Arabidopsis thaliana: one gene and its partner. The protein of the gene in region 1 interacts with the protein of each later gene in a biochemical or structural test. Each region holds a gene or a part of one and is shown on either strand. Other genes may lie near its edges. The genes, in order: PSBP-2 and DEG7.

Region 1 (15,027 bases):
TTATTCGTTGTTTGTGTACTTTGAAAAGTAATAATCCGATCCTATATGGTTAGTTTTGGAAATATATCTTGTTTTTTTTTCTTTTAAGTCGTTATTATATATTGATTTTTCTTCATAAAAATACACAGTATAGTATATCCAAAAAAAAACACTTCCATTAACTATGACCACGAACATCATTTTAGCCGACCTATGATAGTAGTTATATTTTTGATTCTATTTTGTGTACTAAGAAAAGTAATATCCTAAATTTATTTTTTGGAATTAAACGTAATCTTTCTTTTTAAGAACTAGAATTCAAATATTGAATAATAATTATACTAATAAATATCAATAGTTATACAAGTTAAAGAAGAGTTGAAAAATAACTATTGATATGAATAATAAACTATTATTAGCCAAATTTAATTAGTTTTGCTAGCTACTTTCTTGTTGTAAGCTTTTATTCTCTTTCATAAAAAGTTACTTATAACTTTAATTTAATTTGATATCAGAGAAGTCACAACAATCTTTGTAAATATAGTGTAAACTACTTTAACTCAGTAAATCCTGCAAAAGTTTGTTATATAATTCGTACATAAGTCTTAAGATCGACGTTTTCTTATATATATATAAAAAGAACGACGTGATTCATCAAACGTTTGAAGTGAGAAAGAATAAAATAAAGTTTTTTTTTTTTTTTCAAACCTCGAAAGAATTACATACATTGCCGTGACGTATTAAGGGTATATAGAAGTTTTGAGTGCATACGTAATATTGATATATATATCCATGTCGTATGTATATCTAGTGATGTATAGAAGTTTATTCGTAAGACTAGTGATGATGAACTTAGAAGGATTCAAAGTAAAATCGATGTATATCCATGACTTGTGTACATCTTAACATATATTACCGTTAAAATAAGCTTGTTTTATTCTAAAATATATAACGTTTCAGAAAAATTGTCTATTTAGTAATTGCATTTCTCAAATTTTATCAAATGTGTATTGTCTTATTACTTACTAAAAGTATTTTTTCAAATTTTTGAAAACAAGGGTTAGTTTTTGTAATTAAAGCTAATTTCAGATTCTTAAATGTTTCACTATTTTTTATATTATTTCATAAAGATAATAGAAGCAAATAATTTGGAAAAAACTTTTTTTTTGCAATTCTAACAATATTTTACTGGATAAACTAGATTTTATCCCGCGATACACCGTGAAACGATTTTTTTTTTAAGTTAGTATATATAAAAGTTTGCAAATTGTATTTTTTTCTAAACTATTTATATTTTATAATTTACAATTGTTATTAAGTAATATTCTGTCAAATTTGTCCCGTTAAAAAACTTATTTCTTTTATTAATGTTAATATTAATTATGATATGATTTTGAATAATTGTCTAAATTTTTTACTTTATATATATGATATTAAACCCACATATTTTTTGTTAATCGGAGTAATATATGTCTGTTTTTAAAATATTTAAAATTACAATATGATTTAAAATATTTAAAAATCAAACAAGTATATTCATAGTTTTAAATTTTAACCAAATTTTAGAAATATTTATATTTTAAATATAAAAATATTCGGTGTAAAAGTTTTTGAAAACGGATTTAAAATCAAATTTTGTTTGAATAGACCTATCAAAAAATTTAATAGATAAAAATTATTAAATAAACGAATATCAAATTGATCTAAATACATTTTGACCTACTGGGTTGAAAAAATATTATATAGATAACTATGTTTTGCCTTTCATATACAGTATATTATATATATTTTGTCAAAATTTTCTTTTATAGTTTAGATGTGTATTGACATGTGTTGTCCAGTCCTCGTGTAGAACAGGAAGGCATCGTATGATTTTTTGGTTCCACCGAAAAAATTAATAAGGCATGACGGACCTGATCCAACACAATTCATAAAACATTTCCCCAAATAATCTTTTATTTCTGTCAAACATTTGATTTTTCTTCCAGGACTTTTCTATGTAAAAGTGCGTGCAACCAATTATCTTGTCCTCACTGATTCCCTATTAATGATTTTTCTCACATAGCTCCTTATGCAATGAATCTATCTTCTTAAATTGTTGCAGCCACATTTTTAAGTCATTCATTTGTAGCTGAGAAATTCTCATGAATAGAATTCATCACGTGGTTATTAATTCACAAAGAAAAAAAAATGTGACAACTACTATATATATGTGTCATTTATAAACACATAATATCCCTTTAACGTAAAATACTAGGAGAACCCCTGTCCTACATGCTGGTTATATGACTTATTTGTCTATTAACAAACCAAATTAACACTTTTGATTCAAAATGTGTTTGATCCAAATTCATCTTTGAATTATATTATTTGCCATGTAGATGGTTTTCTTTTGTAAAAGACCTAAAACGTGTATCCGTATAATAATATGATTTTAATATATTATGTTTTTAGAATATATGATGACTTTTACTTTTCCAAACATACGATGACTTTTATTTGGAAGTTTGACTTACCCATTCAACAACGAAGTTACTTTAGTTAAAATAATCAAAGTGTCGACTACTGAAGTTAAGTAAGTTACCCGGCCGGTCTTACTTAGCTGTTGAATGCGACCCGATATAATGTTACTTAGTTGTTGAATGAGTCAGCCAAACTTCAAAAATCTCAAATTCCTCACAACTACAAATAGCTAGCTCATGTATTTTCATATATTCTACAAAAAAAAAAAATCTTAATTTAAATTGTAAATGAAAATTTTGATTATTCGTTTACTTATTCAATTTGGAAAATTTTCTGTTTTAACAGTAGAGTTGTTTTAAGATTTACTAAGAAATTTGGTGAATGAAGTATTCGACTGTTACACTAACCTTGGGAGGATTAGTAGAGCGATAAAATTTGTATCACCCTCTGATTATAAAAATAAAGGAAAAAATTATATGTTACCAATTACAATGAAAATTTTAAATATCAAAAAGTCAGATATATGAATCTTATTATTACTAACATGTTTGAGTAATTGAGTTTAGTTTTATATCTTCCTATAACGTAAGAATCTTTTGTATATATGTAGTTATTTCAAAAATAGTACTGGAAGTTTTGGATATTTTCTGCTAGCAGTAAAATTCAAAATTTGAAATGCCTACATCTGTTAAGTGTTGAAAAAAGTAATTTTAATTTCACTATTTTATTTTACATATGCATATTCTAAAACAGAAACACTTTTCCATCATGGGATCGGAGGTGATATATATAGGTTTTAATCTGCGAGACTATTTCTTACTATAATGTTAAGATTACCGTTGGTTGCTATTTTGTACGCCCTTAATCCAGTTTTATATGTAAATGTCCTTTGTAATATAAAAGAATTATCTTTGTTTTGAGTCAAAGTATTTTTTTTTTCTTTTTGGGGTAACCACGTCAAAGTATTTATCGAGTTTTTACAAATTTTTGAATAGAAACAAGATGTTTTGGAATATTTATATATATATATATATTATAATGCATAATGGTGTATAAGCGCCAAAAGTTTAGCATCCGTTGAAATTGTTGGTAGCATTTTTTTGCTGTTTTCGGACAAAAATAAATGTTAGCTTTTTAGTCGGCACCGGTTTGAAGTGACGAGTAGTAAATTAAATCCATTTAGTGCCAAATTAAGCAGGTGGTGGAGGTGTGTCACAACACATGGTCTATTGTTGTTTTTTCTCTCTAAAAAATATGAGAAGAAAATCTCTTTTTTTTTCAACTCAGAGACCTCGCGAGCCCACGTTGACGTAGACACATTTTGGTGTGCGCAAGAACATAAAATCTTAATAATATTCAACAACGTTGAATATGGAAACACTGGAAAGAGACAAATTCAAATTTTGCTAAGCACAATATTAGGGTTGTGACCGTGAACCCAACGAATATATAAACATAAAACATGGTTACTGGAGAGCCTCCCAATAAGAGAGAAAGTAGAAAGTGAGGTTCAAAAACTAAGGCATTTTAGAGTTGCATAAATGTAATCAGTAAAAAAAACTATATAATCAGTAATCCAATTAGCTAAAACTTGTAAAAATTTATAAAATCGTAAATTTACCGAGTCTTACATTTAATATGATTAAATTATTTTATATCAAAAACCATATTTACCAATAAAATATAGGTTCTCTAAAGTCTAAAATACATAGGAAAAATGCAATTTAATTTTAAAATTGTGAATGGGTAAACCGTAAACCAAGTACAATTAGCATACGGTTTGATGCACCGGTCTACTTAACCGAAGTTTAAGGCCTCAGGCCCATTATCACTCTTCTTCTTCTTCTCCTCCTAAGTACTTACCATAAACCCTAATTTTGGGGTCTCTGCACAATTTGCAGATCCTCAGATCCGATTCTGTCTATTAGTAGTAATCCCCGGAGCTTCAGCTCCAAGGAAATTCGTAATTCATGGCATCAAATTTTGTGAAACTCGGCAGTCAATTTATCGGCAAACTCACCCGAGTAACTAGCTTACCAGCTCATCACACTGATTTGGTCCAAAGAGTTTCGATTTTAAAAGACGAGCTTTTAACGATTGGTAACAGTAAGGAGAAGTTCCAAAATGTTTTGGATCAGAAAGGGCAATGGTTGTTTAGAACTTATCGTGATGGTGCTGGGATCTTAGAGCTTATGGATCAACTCTTTCCTCGTCATTACTTAGCTCTTCAGGTTTCCTTTCTTCTTCTATCTTTTGAATTCTATAAAGTTTGACTCTTGCCACTGCCCTGATCTTTTGTAGTCTATAAAGTTTGAATCTTTATTAGCATCACTGTAGATTAGTTGAGTTTGTTTCGTAGGTTTTTGATGTTATGTTAATGTTTAGGTTTTAGAGTGGAGGAGAGGACAAAAGGATTATTGTATCCCCTTGACATCGGAGGAGTATGCTAAAGGAATCAAAATTGCGGGTAGAGCTAGGGATATTAACCTTGCAGTCTATCTTTTCGATGAGGCGGCTAAGAAACGAATGCAGACTGCTTCAGTTTATAATTCTTTGATGAGTGTTTACATGTGGAACGGGCTTGCTGAGGAATGTCAGTCGCTTTTTAAAGATTTCAGGAGGCAAACGCATTGTGCGCCGACCGTTGTGACATATAATATTCTAGTATCTGTTTATGGTCGACTTTTGATGGTAAAGAATATGGAAGCAGCTTTTGAAGAGTTACAAAAAGTGAAGCTTCCTCCTAATTCTGTCACTTACAACTTTCTAATTGCGGGTTACATGACTGCCTGGAATTGGGATAAAATGGAAGCTACTTTTCAAGAAATGAAGAGGGGTCCAGTTGAGCCTGACACAGATACTTATCAGCTAATGCTTCGTGGGTATGCAAATTCTGGGAATTTGAATAGGATGGAAGAAATGTATGAAGTGATTAAAGATCAGGTTGGTGTAAACAGTGGTCCTTTGGTCAGAGCTATGATCTGTGCATATTGTAAGAAAGCTGTTGAGGATAGAGTCCAAAAGATTGAAAATTTATTGAGTCTTCTCTCTGGGGAGGAATATCTTCCTTGGTTGAATGTGCTTTTGATTCGACTATATGCTCAAGAAGACTTTGTGGAAGCAATGGAGAGTAAAATCAACGAGGCATTTGAGCAGAAGACATGTGTTAATAAGTCAAGTATCATGCGAGCAATCATTGCAGCTTACTTCAGGTGTAATGAAGTTGACAATCTTGCTAATTTCGTCAAGCGTGCTGAGTCTGCTGGGTGGAAACTATGCAGATCTCTCTACCACTGTAAGATCATGATGTATGGATCCCAAAAACGCTTTGAAGAAATGGAAGGTGTTGTAAATGAGATGGCAGAGACCAATTATGGGCTTGTAACTAAAACGTTCGCCATTATGATTAAAGCTTATAAAAACCATGGAATGGAGTCAGATGCTGAGAAAGTGAAGGGAAAGATGCTGAAACGTGGGCTTTAGATGCACTTCAGTTTGCACAAAGAATTCTGTTGTTTCGATTTGTTCAGTGTCTTTATCAAGTGTGAACTCTGGCCAAACTGAGTATCAAATGGTTAGTGCTGTTTCTGCGTTTTCACAAGTCTCCTGTTTATAGTGACTTACCAGGGAGTTGTGCTTAGCTTTGGTCTCCCTTTTTAGCAATCAGGTTGTAGAACTGTCCCCCATGAGGCTGAATAAAAGATGCTGGATATGCTTCCATAATCCGTCATTAGGGGTTTTGGGATAAGACTAGTCCACAGTTCTTTTCCGTCATGAGTGACTCAACCATCACTAGTCTGCCATAGTTGTACATGTTACAGGCAGGGTTTGAAATTTCCATGGCAGATTTTGATCCTGTTGGCAGATGAGAAACCTCGGTAAAACAAATTCTCTGTGATCCATGAAGAACAGTGCCTGCTCTATCTGGACGTCTTACCTGTGTTTGCCGATACGATTAGAAGAGCTATGATTTTCTTCCTATTTGATGGCTCTGCCAAGTGAAGTTATTTCCTTGAAGAGAAACCTGACCGATGTTGCAGCGGGTTTCTCTTTCTGCCACCCCTGGGTTAAATTTCCAGATTGTCGTAACTTAATTTTTGTTGTTGTTAGGCTATCACAGTCTTACATCCACATACTGCTCTGTTGTTTAGGCTTGAGCCCTGTTTGTAAATTTGAGGAAAACAGATAGCTCAGCTACACATGATGTTTCAGTATAGTGAGACGTCACTGGGATCTCAGTTACTAAATTTACAAGTTCTCACGAATAAGCCATGGATCTTTTAATTTTATCAAGATTTTTGTTTCCTTGTCATTTCAATTCTTTGCAGTACTTTAACGATCAGAGAAAGATAAACAATAGTTATAGATATCAAATGATTGTTTTCTTTTCTTGATCCATTATTTATACAATGGACAATGAGGAAGAAGACAACAGATAACAGAGCGTTCCATTAATGTTTATGATTCATATCAAGCAACACTGAAGGACGTAGCAGCATTCTCAACGAACTTCCTAGCTCCTTTGAACCACCTCTTGTCTCCTGCTTGAGCTTTGCAAATGTAAAGCTTTCCACCATTCACAGTGGCTGTTATCAGTTGGTGCTTCCCACCTTCATCTCCATCAGCTGTTCTTGTCAGAACCGACAAGTAATAGTATTCTTTCCCTCCGATTTCTTGTGTAGATGTTTCCAAAATGTTTGCAGTTGCTACTGCATTTGCATCAAACCCTCCCTGCAAAAATGATCAGTCACACTCTTTAAGGTATTGGTTCTTGTTTGAACCCAAAAACTCCTTCACCAACTAGAAAAGGAAATTACCTCAGAGGCTGTTTCGCCGACGTAAGCTTGCTTCCCGAGGAGATAATTCACCTGCAGAAACCAGAAACCTATCATCAGCTGTGTTGTGGTGATTATCGTCTGATTGAACCGTTTTTGCTTTAAAAACAGAGTGAAACCTGAGAGAGGAACTGTTCAGGAGAACCGTAATCAGTGATGGATTTCTTGTCTGTAGGAGTGATCATGACAGAGACATTGCTGGTGGCGTCAAAGTTGTCCTCGAATCTTAGTACTTGTCCTGGATACTCAATTTCTTTACTTGGGTTCCACTTTGATGGGATCTGGATTTTGAATCCTTCTCCTGTGTATGGCAGGAAATCTGTGTTCTTCTTTGGCTTACCAAACACATTAGCTGCAAAACAACAATCAAGATTTGCTTCATGATTCTCATTGATATATGCTCAAAATGTATATAGAGAAAGTGGGATCATACCGGCTTCACCATAGGCGGCGCAGGAGAGACTTTGGATCCGATGGCTGCAGCACCAACGAGTAAGGTAAGGGCAAGACGGCGGAAAACAGCAGAGTTATTGTTTTCCTGAGACTGTTGAGCTCTACATACTAAATGGACGGGTCTCGAGAGGGACACATGACGAAACGACGATGAAGATGAAGATGATGATCGTCCGGCAGAGGAGGCAAGTGCACTCTGGTGTAAGAAGCTCGGGCTGTACGCCATTCTCTTTTTTTCTCTTTCTTGTTGCAACCTGAAGACCAAAGTGATGAAACTGTTTGTAAATATGGAGTTTAAGAAAAGAGTTGTTTATTGGCTAATTTTTGGATTTTTGGGCATCTAATCTTCTGTTTGGATGTCGGGATAAGGTTGTATAAGTGCTCCATCTTGCCACGTGGCTGTGAGCCTACTGGTCTGAATGAATTTCGACGTGTTTGATCTCACTGGAAGTAAAATGAAAGTATGAAACTGCTAGAAGAGGCTTTATGAGTAACAACAACAATAGTTACAATACTCTGGAACATATTAGAGCAACATGAAACCGTTAAAAACTCCGTTTCATGATTAGATAAATAGAAACACTTTGAGCCAAGAACCACCGAAGAGACATGGATCCAAACATGAATTGTTTATACATCATCAATTCCTCTGCTTTCATGGGACCCAAACCCAAACCCAAACCAAAACCCAAAACCAAAAACAATCTCTTTTCATGCATCTCACTTCTGTTCTGCTTTGTCTTCGCGTTGCCTCTTTGGAATATACTGTTCTTTCTTCTTACCCGAATCCGAGTTGTTGCCTGACCTGGTCTTGGTTTTCTTACTGCTTTGATTCTTCGCCATTGGTGCGGCAGCTTCTCTTGGAACTGTGTTATGTTGCTTATTCCCATAGGCCTGATCAGAAGGCATGTTCTCTTTCTTGTTACTCGAACCCGAACTGTTGGCTGATTTGTGCTTTGATGGCTTACCCGTAGAAGCAGCTTCAGGCTGGTTAATCCTATTGGTGGGATTAACAAACATCTTCTCTTTCTTCTTACCCGAATCGGTATTGTTGGTTGCTTTGGGATTTCTTTGCTTATAGTTTTGCTGCCTAGGTATTGATGCAGCTTCTGTTGGAGCCATGTTGTAGTTATGCTGCTGATTCCTATTCGTGTGACTAGGATGCTTGTTCTCTTTCAAACTCAGAGACCAAAAGAGTGAGTTAAGGAAAGAGTTTGGTTTCTCTTCCCATCCACCGGTATCATACATCTCAGTCCTTGAATGTTTTGGTACCATAGACTCCGGTGGACATGAAAGTCCTGCATGACCATCATATGAGAGAATACCAGCTATTGCATGCATAGAAGCTCCGAGATGAGGTGGCAAATGTTCCCGTGGATGTGTTACCTACAAATTGCCAATAAACAGTTGGAAATCAAATCAAATAAAAGAACCCTTAAAAGTATGGAGTAGTTTTAAGCATAATGGATTCTAAACTCACCTTGAATAAAATAGAAGCCATTAGTCGTTCCCGCAAAATGTACATTTGAGCAACTTCAAGGGCTGTGGTTCTGAAAGGCAGCCAGCGATCAACTACTAACTTGACTGAATTTTCAGGTGAAGACATCATTTTCGCTCCACGCCTACTCTCTTCTTTATGTATGTCCATTCCTTCTTCATTAGTATTAGCTGCTACTTCTTCATTAGTATTAGCTGCTACTTCTTCATCATCTTCTTCTTCTTCATTACTATCATCAGAATCACTGCTCCCTGTAGGGGCCACAGCTATCTCTGTTGAGATAAGTAACAAAGGAAGATCACGAGCAACAGTACAGTTTCTTATGTGCATGCCTCCATCTCCACGAGTGATCTCATCGAAAACGAGTAAAGATTCATCATACTTTTTAGACGACAAGTTGAAGTTGTTTGACAGCGAATGGACACGAACTTTAGCACCACTAGCAGTCTCTACTATAGTTCTTCGATTATTACCAAAAGCTGGGCACAATCTTCCCACCATAGGATACAATCCTACTGCTAGCACAGCACGGAGTATACCGGGATCACGCGAATTTTGGCTACAACTTGAAATGTCGTTAGGAATAATCCCATGTCTTTTAAGTTCCGACTCAAGTTGGCTACGCATTTGATCCAACATCTTCATAGCACTTGGAGAGACAAAGTACTGAGAGCAAAACTCTGCTGAAAGACCTCTTCCTTTTGCGTTTTTCCAGCACTCAAAGGCAGCAACAACTGCAAGGTGATCACTGTCACCTCCACAAAGTGATGCAAGTTCAAGTTTTGCAGCAGCAGCTTTCTGTCTTTCAACAGGCGACATGGGCATCGTAAATGGTTCCTTGTAGTCTGCTGCACATGCCAGAGTAAGTGCTGGATCCAGACAGTTTACTAACACAGCGAAGAATAGCATTTTGCTAATCAGAGGATGAACTGGGAGATGACCAAATTTCTCTCCAAGTTCTGTCAGCTCTTCCTGAGGTGTCAGGGCACCAATATCCTGTAGTATGCTTAAGGCGTTTGCAATACTTTGATCAACAGGCGGGTCCAACAGTTTCTGAAGGAAATCATTTGTTTTACAATTTGGATCAAGTATCTTAACCTGAGAATGTAATCAAAGGGCAATGATCAGTAAGAGATTGCATACGCACGAACGGCTCACAGCATAGAACCAATTGCTATTAACTAGAAATTAAATGAGGAGCAGTACTTGTAAGCAGAGTTCTTCTACCGGCATCCTCTTGATTTCAGGAACTTTAAAATCTGGCATAGAGGCTGCCCGAAGTCTAGAATAGAGATGATAACAAATGCCAGGTTGGCAGCGGCCTGCTCGACCCTGACGCTGTTTTGCATTTGCTTTTGATACCCAAGAAGATTGGAGAGTTGAAACATTATTATAAGGATCATAGCTCTTTTCCTTCATCCGGCCACTATCTATCACATAAACCACATCATCAATGGTAACTGCTGATTCAGCAATATTTGTCGCAAGCACAATTTTGCGACAACCTGGAGGGGGGCGATTAAAAACTTTCTTCTGTTCCCCTGCTGGAACCATTGAGTGAAGACATATAATGTCGAATTTAGCACTATCTGCAAAGAAAGGGTTCTCAAGTAATCTCTGTCTTGTTTTATTTATATCATCCCATCCAGGTAGAAAAACAAGAATCGCACCGTCTTCTGAATCGCCACATATTTTCCTCATTAACTGTTGTATAAGACTCACATCGACCTGCTCTGGGTTGATTGTCGCCATGTATTTATCAAGTAACTGTTGTCCTTGCTGAGAATTAGACTGGGAATTGTCTGCATGCTCCCTGATTATTTGAGCAGCTTCTAGTTGATTCTCTGCTTCAGCCAATTCTAATGCAGTCATACCATCTTTAGACTTTAAGCTCCAATCTGCACCAAAGGAGAGGAGCATGCAGACATCACTGATCCTGCCCTTTCCAGCAAAGACCATTAGTGGTGTTAGCCAGGTTGATTGGTGCTGATAATTGTAGATCTCATGACTTCCTCTAGAAGAAACTAGATCTAAGAGGGCATCAAACTCGTCATTTGTCCAAGCCAAGATGATTGCTTCATCTAAAGCAAGTTTATCCTCATCCGTCAAATCAAGCTTGTGGTCTGATATACTCAAGTTGGTAGAGCTTAGATGATTATCTCCACCTGATTTCAGAATAGAGAGCACATCCTCCAAATATAAGGTTCTCACCTGTAGACACAAAGCAAGGAGATTATATTTGGGCATAAAAGAATTACCATATTCGAGATATAGAGAGAAAAAGAGAAATTAACTGGATAAGTGAATCCAGGGACACGGACAACCGGGCAACCTCCAAAATATCCAGAAAATCTCTCAGCATCAAGCGTAGCACTCATGAGAATCTATTGGTCCAGAAATTTTCAAAAAATCAGCTAAAGAGTACTGTAGTCAGGCCATATTCAAAGACGTTTACCAAGCCATCAAGTCCAGCTATCTCAGGTTCTTAGGCTATGTACACAATTTTGTCGGAGTTCACTTGTTCTCAGTGTCTTTCGACCAAGTATCTTTTTTGAAAATTCTAAGAACGTCACTTCGCCAACACACAAAAATAGCAGGAAAGAAATCTATTTTGTAACTTGTATTGTGTCATCTTTTAATTTCTAATACCGGAGGGAAGGAGACACCTTTAAAAATACAAAACCTACTCTATTTCCTTTCTTTTCAGAGGTAACAAGGCCGTATAGAGTCACCCCCTCTAATATATCCGCTTCCCTCTTCTATTTAGTAAACGAAAAGAAACATAAACAAAGCCAATCCTTCTTCATTTTGTTCTCTTGTTATAAGTGTACCATTGCAGTGAAAAGCAAGAAGAACATAAAGCTTAACTAACCAGACGGAGATGGGGATTTGATGGAAGCAAATCCCTGCAAATCAACAAAAGCATCAGAAATTCATATGAGTTATATCATACATTCAAAGAAAGTAAATTAATTATCTTCTTTCATGGTTTGCGGCTTAAGAGAAGATAAATACATGTGTACCAGTTTATTATTTAGCACATAAATTATGGTGCGGCATTAAACAATAGCCTTAAAATCAGTTTCTTAGGTCACATACACTTGATTTGATTAATAGACAATTGACAAGTTGAGAACCTCAACGTTTGAGAGCAAGGATGTCTACCTTATAATTGCCAACATGAAATCAGAATAGCAATCTCTTTCATGGATTTCATCCTACAAAGACATGAACGCACTGATCAATGTAGAAAGCTACAGAATTAAATTTAAAGCCAAAGTGAAAGGTAGAGGATCTGGGATGACAAACAGCAACAAGAAGGCTTTTCATAGTGACAGTTGACAAGCGATTTAATTTTCCGATAATACTCATCATACATATGAAACACACACGTAATAGGCACATGATAGCAGAGCAGATAAGAAATATGTAAAGTACCACAATGATGTGAGTTATGTCGGAAACACTGCTAACAGAGCCTTTTCCTACAAGCACCCTCAGGAGAATACCATTCGTGCAGAAAACAACTGATGAGTGCCTTCCACCTTTGCTTTGGAGTCGAACCTGAGATTTACATATAAAGTCAATGGTGCACTTGTCTACAATATTGAAACACAATCACCTTTCATGTACAAACGCAAATATGTCTACCTACAAAGATTACTAACCTTGTAACCAATGTTTTCTCCAATGCTTTCACCTCTTTCACAAGATATTCTTTCAGAAACTTCAAAAGAGGGATAAAAAGACAGTAAGGGGTAAGCATTATACAGCGTACATGTGGATAAACTTGAAATTTCAAAAGATCAACACAAATACATAGCTGAATAAAAAAATGTCAACCTGACATGGCGGATATCCGACGAGGTTGGGTGCAAACAATTTTGCAAGTTTCTCTTTTGCTTGACCACATATGGTCTAAAAGATATTGAGGCACCTAAAACATTAAACAATGGAGGCACTTGAGAAACCTCGAGAATGAAAATATTGAACGCAAATTCAACTGAACACTCTTTACATGGCTAATATCACAATCGCAGCTCACAGTAAGCAAAATTTCTAAGGAGATCATTCTACTAGACTACCGAAAAACAAGGGATAACAAACACCTGAGTAGTTTTCCCGCAACCAGTTTCACCAGAAATGAGAATAACCTGCGTTTACAATAAGAATGTATGATGAATTCTTTTTCAAGCAGTGGAAATCACCACAGCAAGCATAACCATACAATTAGTAAATTCTAAGAGAGAACATATCAAAAATTTCACAGAACCTGATTGGATTCCACTGCAGATGTAATTGCGTCTTTAAAGGATGTGATGGGAAGCTTTGACCGCAGCTTAGTGATCTGTAACATAAATCAACAAAAAACAATTTCCTTTCACTTGCTGATACTTGACATGATTTATAACTTCTCAATCTGTATTCCGGATAAAGAATCATAAATTACAGTCCTTTCAAACAAAAGACACACATCTCAGCAACAGGGTATTAATCCTAACCTCCTTAAGAGCTTTATCCTTCTTAAGTCTAGAACTCAAAGATGCCACTTTTTCTAGAATCTCCTCACTGCTAATCTGTGGTTTCCGGAAAAAATCATCTTTCCATTGTCCTTGTTTACCCTTGTTACCAGAGTACTTGGTAAACGATGTTGCAGCCGTATCTCCATCACAAGGTGGGTAATGAGTAAATAACTCCTGCAGAATAACATCTGCTCCCGGCGGAAATGACACACATTTGAGCTTCTCTTTATTTGATTTCTCATTAGCTTCATTCTTGTTTCCATTCTTATGCCTACTTTTGAATATCGAAAGACGCCTTTGTTCCCCACGCCTATTAAAAGCATCCCCCAGAATCAGAAACAATAAAAATGAATACTTTCTCAAACCCAAAAACACTAACTCACCCAGAACTTTTCGATTGAATACCCATTTTCCTGCACATCTGATGAATCACTCCACGTTCGTTATTTGATAGATTATGCTCAAACGTGTAAACTACAGAACACAATGCAACCAAAATTCAATAAAATTCCCAAAGATTAGAGCTTTATGTAATCAATCTCAGACTCATAAAATCATTTCTGGAAAGAATCGGTCAGAGAAGGAAACAATTAGAATCCAAAGGAGAAGACTTGGTTTCCCGGAGCTAAATTCACCTTCGTTCCCAGAGGCTCGAAAGTCTTCGATGACCTTAGTCGCCCAAATCCTAGTAGCTTCGACGGAAGTTGGTTTCCCTGCATTATTATCAGACCTGAATCTCTTGTTCCCCATCGCTTATTAGGCTTTGCTCTGTCTCTCTATCTCTCTTCTACCCGAGAAAACACTAGAAAGCTGAGAAACTGTACGGCTTCTTGTGAGATTCAAGAAGCAAAGCCTCGAAATTTGTTCGATGAGTTTCGTTTTTGCCCTTGCAGAGTTTGCTGGCATTATAAACCGCCTTCTCTTTTTTCTTTTTTTTTTTGATGAAAATAAAATAAATTAATGCTTCGGCATACTAGGCCCATTCCTTTGGGCTCTAAAAATGTTCCAACTTCTATGTATGTCTGTAGTTGATAAGCAAAATCTTATGAGTAAGGAATGTTATATTGTACTTATATGTAATGTATATACTATAAACTAGTGGCAAAATCTTACAAGTACTAAAAAGTGACGTAACTACTATAATTGTGCAGGTTAAGTAACAAAATGTATAAGAAAATGTATAGATGGTAAATGGTAGTTTGGAATGCTAACCAACTCCAGGAGAATGAATGAGATCTTGTCAAACTTATCGAGGTGAGACGATGGACTGTTGTGG
Region 2 (16,297 bases), on another chromosome or scaffold:
TATATTGGAATTCAGAATTTGTTATACTTAAACTAGACCAGTTATTTCAGTTAGGAATTTATCTACTTGTCTCGATTACAAACAAGGACCTTTGATAACGACTTTTTAAGATTGAAAGCGGATATTTATTAACTTTTTCACGTACATTATTACTTTAGTAATCAAAATATTAAAGTTCTTAGAGAAATACAGAAAAGGAAGAAAGATAAGATACAATATAACTTAGAAGTGAGTGATCATGAAGTCAATAAGTCATCATAATCATATGGGAATGGAACGAGAGACCTTGGGATAAACATGGGTGGCCGGATGACCCATAATGCGGCGACCTTTGGCGTGCTTAAAGATATAAACCAATGCTCCGACCGGCCATTCAACTATTCCGGCTGCTACAAACGCCACAAGCCCTAACGTCGGTCCTACCACTTTGCATCTACAAGGGTTTCCGCCCGTTCCGCACTGCACGCATATCGGAATCATCGTTGGTTAAAAACTGATCAAGCCGATGAAATGTTTGTTGATGTTATAGGGATATGATGTATGGAATATGAGTAGAACAAGAAGTGGAAGATGATGGAGAGTTGGATTGTGATGTTTATATAGAGACTCAAGCGAATCATTTCACTCTCTTTTTAAATTCTTCTTCTTAATTGTTTTTATCAAGTACGTAGGGTCGGTCCGTATTATTCTCATCTTTCACTTTAACACGTGTTGTGTTCTAGAGTATACATGTGGTTTAAGGTGGATACGTGTTGCTTCGATAGTTCTTTATGCTCCCGAAAATTTTCAAACGAAATTAAAACTCTTTTTTTAGCTTCTTCACTGAAAAAGAGATGGGCCTTAAAACAGGCCGGATTCAAAAGCAACCAGGCCAGTCCATTACAAAAATCCTATAACCTTATATAGGACTAATGGTAACCAGAAAAAATTGACCTCGTCAATCTAAGACTTATTCAAAACTGAAGAACCTTACAATTTTGCATTTTAATGTGTATGATCTGGTCTCCACCAAATGCATATAGGTGATGTAGAGATATGACGCTGCATATACTTTACATGCACATGCATTTCGTTTATATATGTATGCTTTATATGTGTTATTTTTTGCAAATCTTGAAATCAAAAGACATTTCCCATTAATCATAATAATCATGATCATGATGAAACTTAAACCTCTGATTCTAGTCTTTTTCTCAATGTTCCTCGTGTTACACTATCTCACTAATCAAACCAATTCCGATTCTTACCTCGGAGGACATACCGGAATTACAACTCCGTTGCGGCCACCACCACCAAGAAAGACATACTGCAGCAAGTCATCTTCATCTCCACCTCCGCCGAAATACATGTATGTAACCGGTGTGCCTGGGGAACTCTACCGGACCGAGCCAGATGACCAATGGGGATATAATTCTAGTGTAAACCGAAATCTGGTTAAGTGTCTCTTGGTTATTGTAATTGTGGGGTTTGGAGTTATAAATTTGTGAAAACAGACAGCTATTGTTTGTGTAAGCAATTTTATGGGTAGCTCTAAAATACGGTGTTTGCATCGTAATATATGTATGTTCGAATTGTTTTCTATATTATTATTTTTTAAAATCGTTCCTTTCGGGAAAAAAGTGAAAAAAAAAATGCTAAACCGTGATAAAGAATGTCAAATTTCCTTGTTTTACTTAGTTATCAACGAGTTCAAAAGATTTCGATTTTCACTCACTCAGTGATCCATTTAGACCAAACCCGAAGCCCAATTTTACTTAGTTAATTTGATAGTGGAGTTCTTGCATGTCTAAATTGGGCCTCACAGTCCCACCTTGATATCGGAAAAATTATCTGTTGAGCTGAAATTGAAATTGGATTTTCCGTTAGGTTTACCTGGTATTGAAATTAGAATTGAATTTTCGGTTAAGTTTACCTGGTATTGAAATTAGAATTGATTTTGGTTTCGGTTTACACTGGTTAAGAGAAGAAAACAAAAACAATTGCACGCGATGGGGATTTCAGAGAGGAGTGCGTAGATTAAAAAAGGCATGATTTCCAAAGGGGTACACCCACAGAAGTGCTCTCACGCGCTCAACGCTCACTTTGTGAGAGTGGGGGTGAAATACAGCCTTCTGATTGGTTGAAAAACTCTAAAAAAAGTGAAATAGTATACATGTTGCTAGCTCCATATTAGTTTTTCGTCTTCTTCTCTCAATCTGATGAAAGTTGTTGTTTTTAGGTACAATTCATTCTATTCAAAACAATTTTGACGTCTCTCAATCCCATTTTAGATACAATTGATTCTATTTCAGGTTTTGGGGTTATTTCTCAAATCGATTCCTGTCACCAAAATCAAAATCTGAAAGCAAATGGTTGATGAGGATCACTTGGAAGATTTTGTCTGTGTTTGACTATGGAGTTGCACATAAATGGTTAGGGATCAGAGGAATAAGTTGACTCAGGAAGTTTCTTCTGCTTTCAGCGGCAAGCTCAACATCCTTGTAAGTTCCCTTCTCATGCTAAAGACATTTGTTGTTTTCTATGCTTTTTTTATTGAATTTTCTACACATTGGAATCTTCACCAATCTTGAAATTCTACATATCACATTAGCTCGTATCCTTGCAAGTTTCTTATCCGATAGAACAATCTTCGAACCATTCTGCCACACTTTTATCAGGTTTCTATATATGTTTGGTCTTAGGATTGAATGGTTTAGACTTTTGGTGGTTTTGCCTCGAATGATCAGCTATCTGTCTATTCCATACATGTAATGTGAAGGCTTACGGTTTTTTGTTGAACCATATAGTGATGCTTGTTGATCTCATGTAAGTTTTCCATCTATTAGGCAAGATCTGTTATATGTTAACATAGTTAAGATTACCAGCACCGGAGGAAATCGCGTCACTGGTTGCTTTTCTTTGCCTTCCTGCAGCCTCCTACACTACAAGACAGGAAGAGCTAAAAGCATGCTTAAATGATTGCAAATCCAGTGGTTTAGTGGTGTCTGGTTCGGTTAGAGATCAGAGGGATAAGTTGATTCAGTGGCAAGCTCAACATTCTTGTAAGTTCCCTTCTTCTGCAAAATGCTTGTTAAAACTGACTCTCTAGTTTTTTCTCAGCATTGTGATCAGAATCGTCATTGATCTTGAAATAGTTTATTGCATTAGCTCTGCATCCTTATAAGTTCCTTCTCCATCAAAACATCCTCATACAAATCTATTTGCTGGCTACGCTTTTGTCAGGTTTCTTCATTAGGTTTGTCTTAGCCTTGAACGGTTGAGATTTGTGTTGGTTTTGCCTTAAATGCTCTGTACCTTAGTTTTATGTCGTTTCATCATCATATTTTTTTTCTTGCAGAAATCCAAGGCATCGGATGCAAGTGAGGAAACTATCAATGTACTAAATTAATTGCATAAAATCCGTAGGCCATACAATGGTTTGCTTGGTGACATATGATTATTCAATGACTTTGTGTGCAGACTACATTCGATATCAATGTCTTTGGGACGATAACTCTTATAAAGTTGGTCACTCCTCATATGCTAAAACAAGGAGGCGGTCATTTTGTTGTGGTACGTGGAGACTAACGAGGGATAGTTTTTGTTAAGTGCCCTAATTTTGTGGATTTGTTGAAGGATTGAGCTTCATATCATAGTTTATGGATATGGATATACATTGCGTTTTTTATATGTTAAATCTAAGGCTTTTAAGCTATGTATAGATAGTTTAAGGTTTCTTTTGTATTTTTGTCTTCTGCTTGCTAAATTCCAAATCATGTTACCGTATACACATCTTGAGAAGTCAAACTACGGTTAGCTATTCTTGTATGTGTTAATTTTCCATTTCCTTGGGTTAAATGTCATGATTAATAATTCACGTCAGTCTATAGATAAGCAGTGCTGCAGGAAAGGTACCATCACCTGGACAGGCTATATATTCTGCTTCAAAACATGCTCTGCACGGCTACTTCCACAGCTTGCGTTCTGAGGTATGTTAAAAGTTAAAGAAACTGTGGTGCTTGCTAATTATTTGGCAGCTAATGACTTATTGAAAGTCACAATAGAAAACTCACAGCTACCTCAGAGTTTTCTGATTTGATTTTTTCTTTTACATTCCTTTTCACTAATTGCTGAGAATAGCACCATAAAGTAACAATTCACAGTTGGTTCACAATCTGCCTATGGTTTCAGTTCTGTCAGGAGGGAATCAAAGTGACCGTCGTTATTCCTGGTCCAATAGAAACGTTGAATGGTACAGGAACATCAACTTCGGAAGACAAGAAGTCTCATGAGGTTGGTTAACTGATTGTGATTTGTTGATTAAGTTGTCAGTTTTTTGTACTTGTACCTTTCCTTTAAGCAACTAATCAGTCTTGTAGACACATAGAATCCTCTTCCTTTTCAACATTAGGATCTTCTATCTCCGGCTTCTTTCTCTTTTTATTTCCACTCAAAGATCTTTTCTTTTGCTACACAGAAGCGTGTGTCATCTGAATGATATGCAGAACTGACTATAATCGCCGCGTCTCATAGCTTGAAGGAAGCTTGGATTTCATATCAGGTACTTGTTTGTCAAAATCGCATATGTTTCACTCAGTTTAGATGCTGATATACGATCTTCTTTTTGCTATTTATCAGCCAGTACTGCTTGTGATGTATCTAGTGCAGTACATGCCTTCCCTTGGCTTTTGCTATTTAGTTTCTTTGCGCTCAAGAGGTTTTCAGATGCAGCTACGAGATAAATCGGACTACTGTATATAGTAATCCAACAGGCTTTTGAGCCCAGTGGACTTGAGTTCCTAGAAAAGAAAAACCGAAAAGAAAGTTATGTGATGCGTATATTGAAGACTAATGAAAAGCTTTTGGGGATTCACTTGCTGCCAGAAACTCACAGACAACACTCCTGCCAAAGCTGTCACAAGGCTGATCACTGTTCATTCTTTCCTTCTCTGCAGATATGTGCCGGCAGTAATTTAATTTTTGGTAACTGCTTTCTCCTTCTTCTCCTTTACTCATTTCCCCTATATTTCCTTCCTTTTATCATCATTATATACAAATTGGTAAATATCATTTTTAGATTGTGATCTTCGAAAATTTATTATAGATGTCAATAGATCTAAAAGTTTATACAAGAAGAAAAGGTGAACTCGGAAACCGAAAAGATGGAGAAGGAAAGTCAGGAAAACTCGACCAGACCCGATGCTTCGTCTACTGTTTTCTCTTCCTCTAAGGTAATATCTCTCTATAATCCAAATATCCAATCCTTTTTCTCTTATGTGGGTGATGCGATATTTATACAAATTGCAGAGTACATGCGCAAGCCCTAGCTATCTCAAAGAAGCTGGAGACTTGATCAGTAGGTTGCCTGATGATATTCTCCAACTAATTCTCTCCTATCTTCCAACCAGATTGGCGATCAAAACTTCCGTTTTATCCAGGCGATGGAGGCATGTATGGTCTGATACATGGTCCCTCTCCTTCCATAGGGACAGACCGGATGCTCCTTGTATTAACAGAATCCTAGATCGCTACAGGGCTCCCAAGATGATGAGTTTTCGTATCTGTTCTTGTTGCAGGGCAGCCTGTATCAGCAGACCCGACACGCATGCTGACATCGACAGTTGGATCAACTTCGCCATGTCCCGAAACGTGGAGAATCTGTCCCTGTATCTCGATGAGGATAAATATGATATCCCTGAATTCCTTTACATCAATTCCTCTCTCAAGCAACTCTACCTTGATTTCGGCTGCAAAAAGGATTTTATATCTCTGAATCCCAAATGTTCTGTGTCTTGGACATCCCTGAAGAACCTGTCATTGTATCATTGCAACATCTCTGATGAATCCATTGCTATTATTCTATCTGGTTGTCCCATTCTCGAAAGCTTATTGTTGTTTTTCTGCAAGAAACTGAAGGTCCTTGATCTCAGCAAATCACCGCGTCTGATAACATTAGAAATCACTCGTAGATGTCGAATGGAGCCAACACAGCTCGTTGCACCACATATCCGTTGTCTCAGATTGATAAACTCTGAGAAACCATGTGCTTTAGTTGATGTCTCCTCTTTATCCCAAGCTGAACTAGACATTACCGCTTACGCAATAGTTGATAATAAACTGGAGGCTGATTTTCATCAGACCATGGTGGTAAAGATGTTAGAAAAGTGTCAGAATGTGGAGAAGCTTACTTTGGGGGCAAACTTTCTTAAGGTATATGTTTTCACTCCTGATTTAGTTTACATAATTAGGCTCTGATTTTCAAGAAAACTAGTGTGTTTTTTGGTATACACTCATTTGTCTTCTGTTTTTTTTTGTTTGTTATAGATGTTATCTCTTGCCGAGCTCCGTGGTGTTTCTTTTCCAAAGTTGAAGGCTAAAGCTCTGATACTTGAGACAATGATCTCTCGATATGTTATTCATGGTATAGTAAAGGTGCTACAAAACTCGCCTGACTTGAAGAAGCTAACCATACACCCAATGGGGTCTGCCGGCTCATATCCCATACCGGTAATTATGAATATTCCTTGACCCCGAATTTTGAATCATCATATTGAAATATACTTGCATTACAGGAAGAGCATATTGACATATACTTGGATTCTCATGGCTTGAATTGGGATCCATCCTGGAGCTCGGAGTTTAAGAACACTTCCCGCAGGAATGTAGAGTCAAAGCAAGTGGCTTCGTTTCTGCAACTTGTGCTTAAAACCATATCAACATTAGAGTTGATTGTCGCAAGGTTGGAAGGTTATATCAAAGGAAGACGTTTTGTAGAGTTGCGTCAGATGGTTCCAATGCTTCCTCGCAACAACGATGTCTCCATTGTGCTCAGCTCAAGAAGAAAACGATTCAGAGTGACTTAAGTCATTTTACATTTAAGTAGTACACTAGATGAAAATCTCTTGTTTGTTTTTCTTACTGAAATAATCGAATTCTGTTAAATTGATTTTAAGTTGTGAAATTGTTTTTACGTTTTACCATTTCCAATCTACTGGCTAACCTCGGAAAAACGGTCTAGTGAGCGAGCATTGCCTTGAGAAACAGTACCCGCCAAATCCAGCTCTCATGTACACAGTTTGATATTATTTCTTTCCAGTACTTTTGATTCAGCAACAGAGAGTTCTTTTCGGGCTATGTAAGAATCAATTTGCATTGTCTGCAGCCTATCCGGTGGGGAGCTGAGCCAAGGAGCAAGATTTGCTCCATATCCATTTTCTTCAATTCTAGTTATGCATGCCTTGAGATCCACGTACCTAAGATAAACAAAGAATCAGTCAGAGGTGACAAACCTAGGACAAAAGAAGTTGCGGAATCGAACAAATTTTGGCCTAAGGAACAGAAGCAAGGCATATCAAATATCACAAGTCTCAAGGTCTTGGATCTCTCTGAGAACAATCTTGATGGATCTCTCCCTTCATCTCCTGGGATACAGGCATGAAAGAATCTCTCGTAAGTTCATCTTCGCTTTTGCGTTTCATATACAGCTTCACTATCGTAATACATAACTTAGCAGTGAACTGGAAGAATTCAAAGCAAGGTCTTGCCAACAATAACGTCTGCCTCTACACTCTGATAGACCTCTCCATAACAAGCTATTCGGAGAAATCCCATATTCTTTAGGCAATCTCAAAAGCTTAAAGCTTTTAAACCTCTCATACAACGACATCTCTGGATTGATCCCACAAAGTTTTGGAAATCTTGAGAAGGTAGACCTTTCACACAATAACCTCTCAGGCGAAATCCCGCAGAAACTATCCAAGCTCAGTGAGCTGAATGTATGGAGTTGAGCAACAACAAACTTATAGGTAGAATCCATGAGAGTCCTCAGCTAGACAGATTGAACGATCCGAACATTTACGCAAACAACAACAAAATATGTGGAATGCAAATCCAAGAACCATGCTCGACACAGACCAAGCAGCCAGAGAAGCAATGTTTTCATGGAAAGCTGCAGTCATAGGTTGTCCTTGTGGAATTCTAATGGCAGTTGTCTAAATGTATATGGTTGGCTATTTCAGAGACTCATCACCACCACCAAGGCGATCTCTCAAGAACAGATGACTGAAGAAATCAAAATCTCTGTTTTTTTTAAAACGAAATGGAAGATTATTCAGATGCTGTAACATTGAAAAATAAAACAGTCTGTTAGCAATCCCTATGAAGTGATGTTATCAAGAGAGTTAAACAAAGTAAATTGTCAAATCACTTTCCAAAAAGTTGTATTTTGATCCTCTGTTTTTTACTCGATGAAAACAGAATCGTTTAATGTAAACATTGGCAGCATATAACAAATTCACAAAAATCTGTGTCTTTTTGGTGACATCAAGGATTTTAAGATAACAGCAGAGATTTGTTAAGCAAAAAGATTGTTTAAACAAGAAATATCACCTTCTTGCGATGACGATCAGTGTGAGACATATATTCCAATGGAACACGAGCACCCCTAGAAAGCTTTGAAAGAACAGATACTAAATCTCCAAGACCGGAAATGTCCTCATTAGCAACCTTCTTTATGATACAAAAATGGTTGCAGATACAATTTCCATCTTACTTATCCTCACTCCTAAACTTAACAACTGCATACAAGTAGCCAATGCACAAAGTAATATCTAGCTACTTTACTATACCCAAGAGGGATCTAGAATGTCAATTGCATAGAGTCCATGGTCATCATCAGGGACCAATACTTCAATATTATCATCCAACGGCTCTGTATAACCTGCCAACAAAATAACATTCAAGTTCAAGATCTGCTTCATAACTCACTTTTCTAAAAGTCCATAGTCAAACACAGACAAAATCTTCTAAGTGATCCTCATCAACCATTTGCTTTCAGATTTTGATTTTGGTGACAGGAATCGATTTGAGAAATAACCCCAAAACCTGAAATAGAATCAATTGTATCTAAAATGGGATTGAGAGACGTCAAAATTGTTTTGAATAGAATGAATTGTACCTAAAAACAACAACTTTCATCAGATTGAGAGAAGAAGACGAAAAACTAATATGGAGCTAGCAACATGTATACTATTTCACTTTTTTTAGAGTTTTTCAACCAATCAGAAGGCTGTATTTCACCCCCACTCTCACAAAGTGAGCGTTGAGCGCGTGAGAGCACTTCTGTGGGTGTACCCCTTTGGAAATCATGCCTTTTTTAATCTACGCACTCCTCTCTGAAATCCCCATCGCGTGCAATTGTTTTTGTTTTCTTCTCTTAACCAGTGTAAACCGAAACCAAAATCAATTCTAATTTAAACCTAACCGAAAAATCAATTTCAATTTCATATAAGAACTCCACTATCAAATTAACAAATCATATAAACGTAAGTCTTTAAGTATAATATTTTTATTAAATCGCGGTACAAGCCTAGTCAGAATATACTGTTTTATTTTTTCCAAAACATAAATTATACTATAATTTCATTTTGTCTTAACAGATATTTAATTTCATTCTATGTGCTATACTCTAATACTTAACAACTAATCGGAGCACTAAGAATATACTAATAAAAATCGCTTAGAAAGGCAAAACAAATTACTATCATCAGATTTCTTCCCCAATCTTCTTCTTCATATCCTTGAAGGAGAGAGTATAGAGAATCCGATCCAAAAACCCTAAACCCCATTTCCCGCGGATTTTCTCCCAAGCTGATACGGAGATCAAATGGGAGATCCGTTGGAGAGGTTGGGTTCTCAGGCATCAATGGCTACTGAGTCTGTCATGAAGGAGGACTTGTGTTTAGAGATCGATCCTCCCTTAACTGAATCCGTTGCCACCGCTGAAGATTGGCGTCGTGCTCTCGGTAAGGTTGTTCCCGCCGTCGTTGTACTCCGCACAACGGCTTGTCGCGCCTTTGATACCGAGTCCGCCGGTGCTAGCTATGCTACTGGTTTTATCGTTGATAAGCGACGTGGGATCATCCTCACCAATCGCCATGTGGTTAAGCCAGGTGCGCCTTTTGACTTGTTGAGAAACGAGTGTCAGAAGATTAGCTGGGTTTCAAGAATTCATAAGAGATGATGTTATTGTTGTGGAACTGTAGAACTGATCATGGTTTTTCAAAGTATTTGTTTTTGGATTGTTCGATTTTCCATAGGTATTAGTTACATGTTTATCTAGAATGGCTTAGCTCGATATGGATATGGAGATTATTTGGTCATTCCTTCTGGGTTTGAGTAGACAGAGAATCTCTTTAGAGTTCAGTAAAATTGATTTGTAAATTCTTTCTTCTTACGTAGGCCCAGTAGTTGCTGAGGCAATGTTTGTGAACCGAGAGGAAATCCCAATCTATCCTGTATACAGGGATCCGGTAAGTCATTTCGGTTTATGTTCGATCAAATGAGCATGCATCTGCAGGAGCTAGAATTTGTGTCTCATCTTTTTATGTTTACTTTTCTCCCTTCTCGACTTGTCCATTGTCATCAGGCTGACATTCTTTGGTATTCTTTTCAGGTCCATGACTTTGGCTTCTTTTGTTATGATCCCAGTGCTGTACAGTTTTTGACTTACCAAGAAATTCCTCTTGCCCCAGAGGCGGCTTCTGTTGGACTCGAAATTAGGGTTGTTGGAAATGATAGCGGAGAAAAGGTAAGATACATAGGATGGCGGATTACTTCATATTTTAGACTGTATTTTTCAGTTTCATGTTATAAAAGCAGTCACTTACTCAACTTAGCTCTCAATTTAAATTTTGATGAGGTCAGAACTGTCTATCTATTGTTCAAGTTATTCTGTCAAATGTCAAACTTAGGGTGCAAAAAAAAATGCATTTTAATATATGTTTGGTGCATTAAGACGCATTTATGGATAAGTAATGCTTCTGGTAACTGGAGTGTTGATTTGCAGGTTTCCATACTGGCTGGTACTCTTGCGCGGTTGGATCGGGATGCTCCACATTACAAAAAGTATCTCTGCTTCACTGCTCATGTTTTTTAGTTCTGCTTATTCCTCAACATGAAAATTTGTTTGATGTTACTTGATACTTGCATGAAATCTTCGTAATTTCATATAGGTAGTAATTGTTGAACTAGTAATATACCACCGGTACCTTTTATAGTTTCTTATGGCTACCTGCTTTGTAATTTTTATTTTATTTTTTGGTGCAGGGATGGTTATAACGACTTCAATACGTTTTATATGCAAGTAAAGTGACTCTGTCCTCTTTAATATTTATTGCTTTAAATTTTAGTCACTAACTTATTTTGAACTGAATTGCATGCTGTCACTCTGTGTCAAAGCCTTGTTTTCTCTTCTTAGTCGTGTCATGCTTATGGTTAATCCCTGTTTCCACAAAAATGTGTCTCTTACTCGTATTTACTCTAAAATATCACGAGTCTACCACTAGGGTAAAACTTTCCTGTTTGTAGCTTATTGTGCAATACACAAGTATGTTATGCTACTGTTATTCAAAGTGTAAACCTTACACATACGCTACTGTTTGTTAATATGGTATCTGTGTTTATAGGCAGCATCAGGTACTAAAGGTGGTTCAAGTGGTTCTCCCGTCATTGATTGGCAAGGCAGGGCAGTAGCTTTGAATGCTGGCAGCAAGTCGTCAAGTGCATCAGCCTTCTTCCTACCACTTCAACGAGTGAGCAATCTCTGTTTCTCGTATACTTGTATCGATGGTTCAGTTACGACTAGAATCGAGATGGTGTAACTTATTTAGTCACTGAAATAACCCCTGTAAATTCAGAACATTAGATTATTGTGTAGCTTCTGCTTCTGTCAAAGTTAAGAATTGATAAGTGTATAAAGCCTCCACTAGAGGGTTGTTTAATGTGCTTGGTATTCCGAAAAATAGTTCATGCTGGAAGTGTGTACAATGTTACGAATAAACTACACATCTACTTCAGATCTCTTCTTTTCATGTATGGGATCCTGAGAATCTAGTAGGAAACACTGGGAAAGTCAGACATGGTTCTGGATCTCATTTTTTTTGTTCTTTACAAATCATTTTGTATTTCAACCCCTATATTAATTTGAAGTTTAGTTAGAAATTTGCTTAAGACTTTTGACCAAGAATGGTTCTCTTGTTTGGAAGGTTGTTAGGGCGTTAAGTTTTCTCCAAAAAAGCATTGACTCGCGGACGGATAAGCCAAAAGCAGTTCATATTCCTCGTGGTACACTTCAGGTTTGTTTTTCCCTCTCTGATTTTTGAGACTCTTCATAGTGCCGTTACGAAAATTTCCGCGAATATCAACTTTTGACTCTTTTTTAAATAGCTGGGTTCAGTTTATTGTCTGAAAAACTACACATACCATTACATGTACATGGTATGTCAATTAAATGTATGCGATATGAATGTTGTGTTCAAATCCTAGAGGGAAAATATATACGTTGAAAATCGTGAATATTACTTGATATCTGAATGACCATGGAACTTTGATCTGGACTACTGTGGCTGGTGATAGAAAGAATATCCTTGGGATCTGAAATAGTTCATGGTTTAATTTCTATTCACTTTCCAACGATTGTTAGATTTGAGATTCAGAGGAAGTTCAATATCTCTTACTTAATTATTAGTTCTGGGGTTTTCTTATGTAAGCTTTTATCTGTTTTCTTGTGTACTTTAGATGACATTTCTTCATAAAGGATTCGATGAGATACGGCGACTTGGTCTCAGGAGCGAAACTGAACAGGTACATACTATTCCTTCTTACCATCATTTAGGGCATCAGCTTTCCTCGTGATGCTCACTAACACCTTACAAAATGCTATCTCTTGATCGTGTAGGTGGTTCGACATGCATCTCCAACTGGGGAAACAGGAATGCTTGTTGTCGATTCTGTGGTGAGTGCATTGCTTTATTAATAACATTCAATACAATAATTATTTTCAAAGAATATGGCTATTGTTTAAGTGATGGTTAAATTCGAAACTTTTTATCCTAAATTTGATATGTCGTGATGGTAGGTGCCAAGTGGCCCTGCTGATAAACATTTGGAGCCGGGAGATGTTCTTGTTCGGGTGAATGGAACAGTAAGTTGTCTTGATTGCATCTTCTTAGTGAGAATTTAAATTTTTTTTGCCTCAAGTAATCGAGAATTGTGATATCTTTTGCGGCAACATTAGTAAAGAAACGTATTGTTTAGAGATTGGTTATTACCTGGCCACAGAACGTATTAATCAGTGCACTTAGATTGTCTAGTTCCTTTTTCCTCAGTTTGCTAAATCTTCCTTTATGCGTTTGATTGTTATTACAGGTGCTCACACAATTTTTGAACTTGGAGAATCTGCTTGATGACGGTGTTGGCCAGATACTTGAATTGGAGATTGAAAGGGGTGGACAACCACTATCTGTTAGTGTATCAGTGAGTTCCATTCTTCTATTTCTAACTTTGGTTTTATGTTCCTCGTAGTCTTCTAGGATCTTGTGTTTAGTTTCTGCCCTGTCACATACTGACTAGAAAAGCAGGAGACTATGCAAAGACTAGAAGTAAAATATATGTAGCCGTCTCTTCTCTTTTATTTTGGTCATTAAATTTGTTCTTGTAGCTCTTTTCGTTTCCCCTGATAGATGGAGTTCCTCAATACTTAATTTGCATTTAGAATTCTGCCTTAATGTGATTTATACTTCCTATCTATCATAAAAATCAAGAGCCTTATGTGTTTGTGTATTTCCTGCCACAGGTACAAGATTTACACTCAATCACTCCAGATCACTTCCTGGAAGTAAGCGGTGCTGTAATTCATCCGTTGTCTTATCAGCAGGTAACTTAACTATGACTTGAAAAGATATTATCTGGAAATTTCTGTGCCTGCATGCATGATATTCTTGTGTCGTACAGGTGGAACTGTTGTGTTTAATTATGGCTTGTAACTATTTAATGTTCTATTAGTTGGAGAATCATATCAACATGCTAGATATTTTATTCATAATAAATGCTGTGGATCCACTTTATCCCCCACACTGTCTTGCTAGATCTGATTATGGAAGCATAACTAAGTGAAATAGTGATGTGACTACACTACCTCCTGCTAATAAAGAAGCTTACACGTATTTCACTGACACTTTCTTATTGGCATTAGCTGATCTTAAAATATTGTGATTTAACAGGCTCGCAATTTTCGTTTTCCTTGTGGCCTGGCTTATGTTGCGGACCCTGGGTAATTCCCTCTACTTCCGCCATCAAAATTTTCACGTTTTCTTGATTTATTTTTGACTGATGTGTCAATATTCTGACATGTGAGCTTATTGTTAATGTAAATGATTACGTGTCTCTGTATTTCTGGATTTACTTTGAAGAGCTCTTTTCTATTCAGATACATGCTATTTAGAGCTGGGGTCCCTCGACATGCTATCATAAAGAAGGTTGCTAATGAGGATATTTCCAGTCTTGGAGACTTAGTATCTGTTCTTTCAAAGCTTTCTAGGGGTGCTCGTGTTCCATTGGAATATATGTCTCACACTGATCGTCATCGCAAGAAGGTGATATTTCTTGTTTAAACAATCTTTTTGCTTAACTTCCTAACCCACTGTAAGCATATACTTGTCAAAATTTGATGCTAGCATTTATATATGATATTTTCTTAGGCTACTCCATATCAGCATCTTCATTCTTGCAAACAGTTTGTTGATTCTGTGATAATATTACCTCTCTACTCGGTGTTCCTAGTGTGTGAAATTTTGTGCTACTGCAGTGCTGCTAGATCTCTGTGATCACTTTTTACGGAAAACCGTTATCTTTAAGACTATAATTTTCACAACTGTGGATCTTTTTGCGTTAGCAACGTTCCTGTTATTAACATGCTTGCTTGTCCACGTTTCGTTTTGAACTCTATGTTAATACTCAAACGAGAAGTACTTATTGTCGGGTTCCATTCCTGCAGTCTGTGTTAGTCACGATTGATCATCATGAATGGTACGCTCCTCCTCAGTTGTATACCCGTAATGACAGTTCCGGTTTATGGGATGCGAAACCTGCAATTGAACCTGCTTCTGTTTCACCATCTATTGGTAATAATGGCTTTCCTATAAGCCAAGATATTTCTCTATGCCATCACGATACGGAACCCATGCATGAAGTGAATGTTCGTGGGGTTACTGATATTGCAGCGATTATGGAAACTTCTAGTGGGGATGGTTCTCAGAATGATTTTGGCTCAGAAGCAAAGAAACAAAGAGTTGACGAGGATTCTTCAGATGGGATTGCTGCAAACGGTTCCTTATATGGCAGTGAATTTAAATCTGATGATGCAATGGAAACAGATACTACAGTTTTAAGAGACTTCGAAGGTGCAACAGCACTGTCTGCTAATGCTTCATTGGCTGAGCGTGCTATTGAGCCTGCACTTGTCATGTTTGAGGTAAAGACGAAAACTTCTCTCAAAGTTATCAGTTTCACCAGCTGTTGAAATTTAATACTTTTTATGTGGTGTGCTATTTCTCACTGTTTCTTTTTTGATTCTTAGTAGTCAATTGATTTTTCATTCACAACATTTGATAATACTTGAGTAAGTTTGGGTGTATCAGTTGATTCAATAATTTGCACAGAAGATGGGTGTGTCACTGAACGTACCTGTATAAAATAGTATACAATGTTGACTTCAAGGTTCAGAGTTCCTACATCATCAAAGAGTACAATTTGATAACACAAAGTAGTTACTTAGATTATTTCTCAAGAACATGTTAGATTTGGTAACTACTTTTACAAGTCTGATAGATAACAATCTATGGAGGCTACAAGAAAACCATAGATGTATGACCTGGTGAACTGAATTACTATCTTGGTTAAATATGTTTCTGGTATATGCAATTTTAACTATTTCTTTATATCGTTTTTTTGGTAAAAAGTAATTATACAGTAGTTCTTATTGTGATTCAAGGCAACTTGCATCTGTTGAATCTAAGTTCTCTTATACAGGTTCATGTGCCACCATCGTGCAGTCTTGATGGTGTACACTCACAACATTTCTTTGGGACTGGCATCATTATATATCATTCTTCTAACATGGGGCTTGCTGTGGTGGACAAAAACACAGTTGCGATTTCTGCATCTGATGTTATGTTGTCCTTTGCTGCTTTTCCAGTCGAGATTCCTGGAGAGGTAATTTCCCTGGGAATCTTATAGTTCATGGAAGGAAGTGTTAGAACTGATCTTTCTTAACTGAACTGCAGGTAGTATTTCTTCATCCCGTTCACAACTATGCTCTGATTGCGTATAATCCATCAGCAATGGATCCTGCCAGTGCTTCAGTCATTCGTGCAGCTGAGCTACTACCTGGTATGTTGTTAACCATTTGAAAGTTCCATCGTTGCCTGTTTGGATATCACCATCTAACAGGTGATTATACTTGTGTGAAAATATGACTTAA

What was found.
Region 2: the proteins of PSBP-2 (region 1) and DEG7 form a complex in vitro, tested with the Arabidopsis thaliana proteins (one study listed by BioGRID).

The regions. Positions count from the first base shown.
Region 1 is NC_003071.7:13,112,135-13,127,161, forward strand, and holds PSBP-2 (photosystem II subunit P-2), read right to left. Parts: upstream 8,066-15,027; 5' UTR 7,711-8,065; intron 7,630-7,710; 5' UTR 7,463-7,629; coding exon 7,397-7,462; intron 7,311-7,396; coding exon 7,260-7,310; intron 7,174-7,259; coding exon 6,913-7,173; 3' UTR 6,803-6,912; downstream 1-6,802. Other genes in the region: AT2G30780 (Tetratricopeptide repeat (TPR)-like superfamily protein), read left to right, coding at 4,413-4,673, 4,828-5,925; HVT1 (helicase in vascular tissue and tapetum), read right to left, coding at 8,451-9,116, 9,211-10,326, 10,435-11,439, 11,523-11,612, 12,101-12,134, 12,394-12,446, 12,667-12,792, 12,897-12,955 and 6 more.
Region 2 is NC_003074.8:790,077-806,373, forward strand, and holds the start of DEG7 (DegP protease 7), read left to right. Parts: upstream 1-9,423; 5' UTR 9,424-9,643; coding exon 9,644-9,929; intron 9,930-10,218; coding exon 10,219-10,289; intron 10,290-10,432; coding exon 10,433-10,567; intron 10,568-10,825; coding exon 10,826-10,884; intron 10,885-11,085; coding exon 11,086-11,122; intron 11,123-11,444; coding exon 11,445-11,570; intron 11,571-12,023; coding exon 12,024-12,113; intron 12,114-12,555; coding exon 12,556-12,621; intron 12,622-12,715; coding exon 12,716-12,772; intron 12,773-12,895; coding exon 12,896-12,961; intron 12,962-13,185; coding exon 13,186-13,293; intron 13,294-13,612; coding exon 13,613-13,693; intron 13,694-14,039; coding exon 14,040-14,089; intron 14,090-14,245; coding exon 14,246-14,411; intron 14,412-14,812; coding exon 14,813-15,289; intron 15,290-15,846; coding exon 15,847-16,029; intron 16,030-16,100; coding exon 16,101-16,206; intron 16,207-16,297. Other genes in the region: AT3G03341 (cold-regulated protein), read right to left, coding at 262-480; AT3G03350 (NAD(P)-binding Rossmann-fold superfamily protein), read left to right, coding at 1,152-1,483, 1,805-1,915, 2,417-2,480, 2,622-2,657, 2,852-3,041, 3,300-3,376, 3,460-3,552, 3,870-3,968 and 2 more; AT3G03360 (F-box/RNI-like superfamily protein), read left to right, coding at 5,429-5,430, 5,556-6,189, 6,304-6,486, 6,552-6,842; AT3G03370 (uncharacterized protein), read right to left, coding at 7,347-7,518, 7,629-7,807, 8,368-8,487, 8,607-8,698, 8,772-8,805. UniProt on the Arabidopsis thaliana protein: Probable serine protease.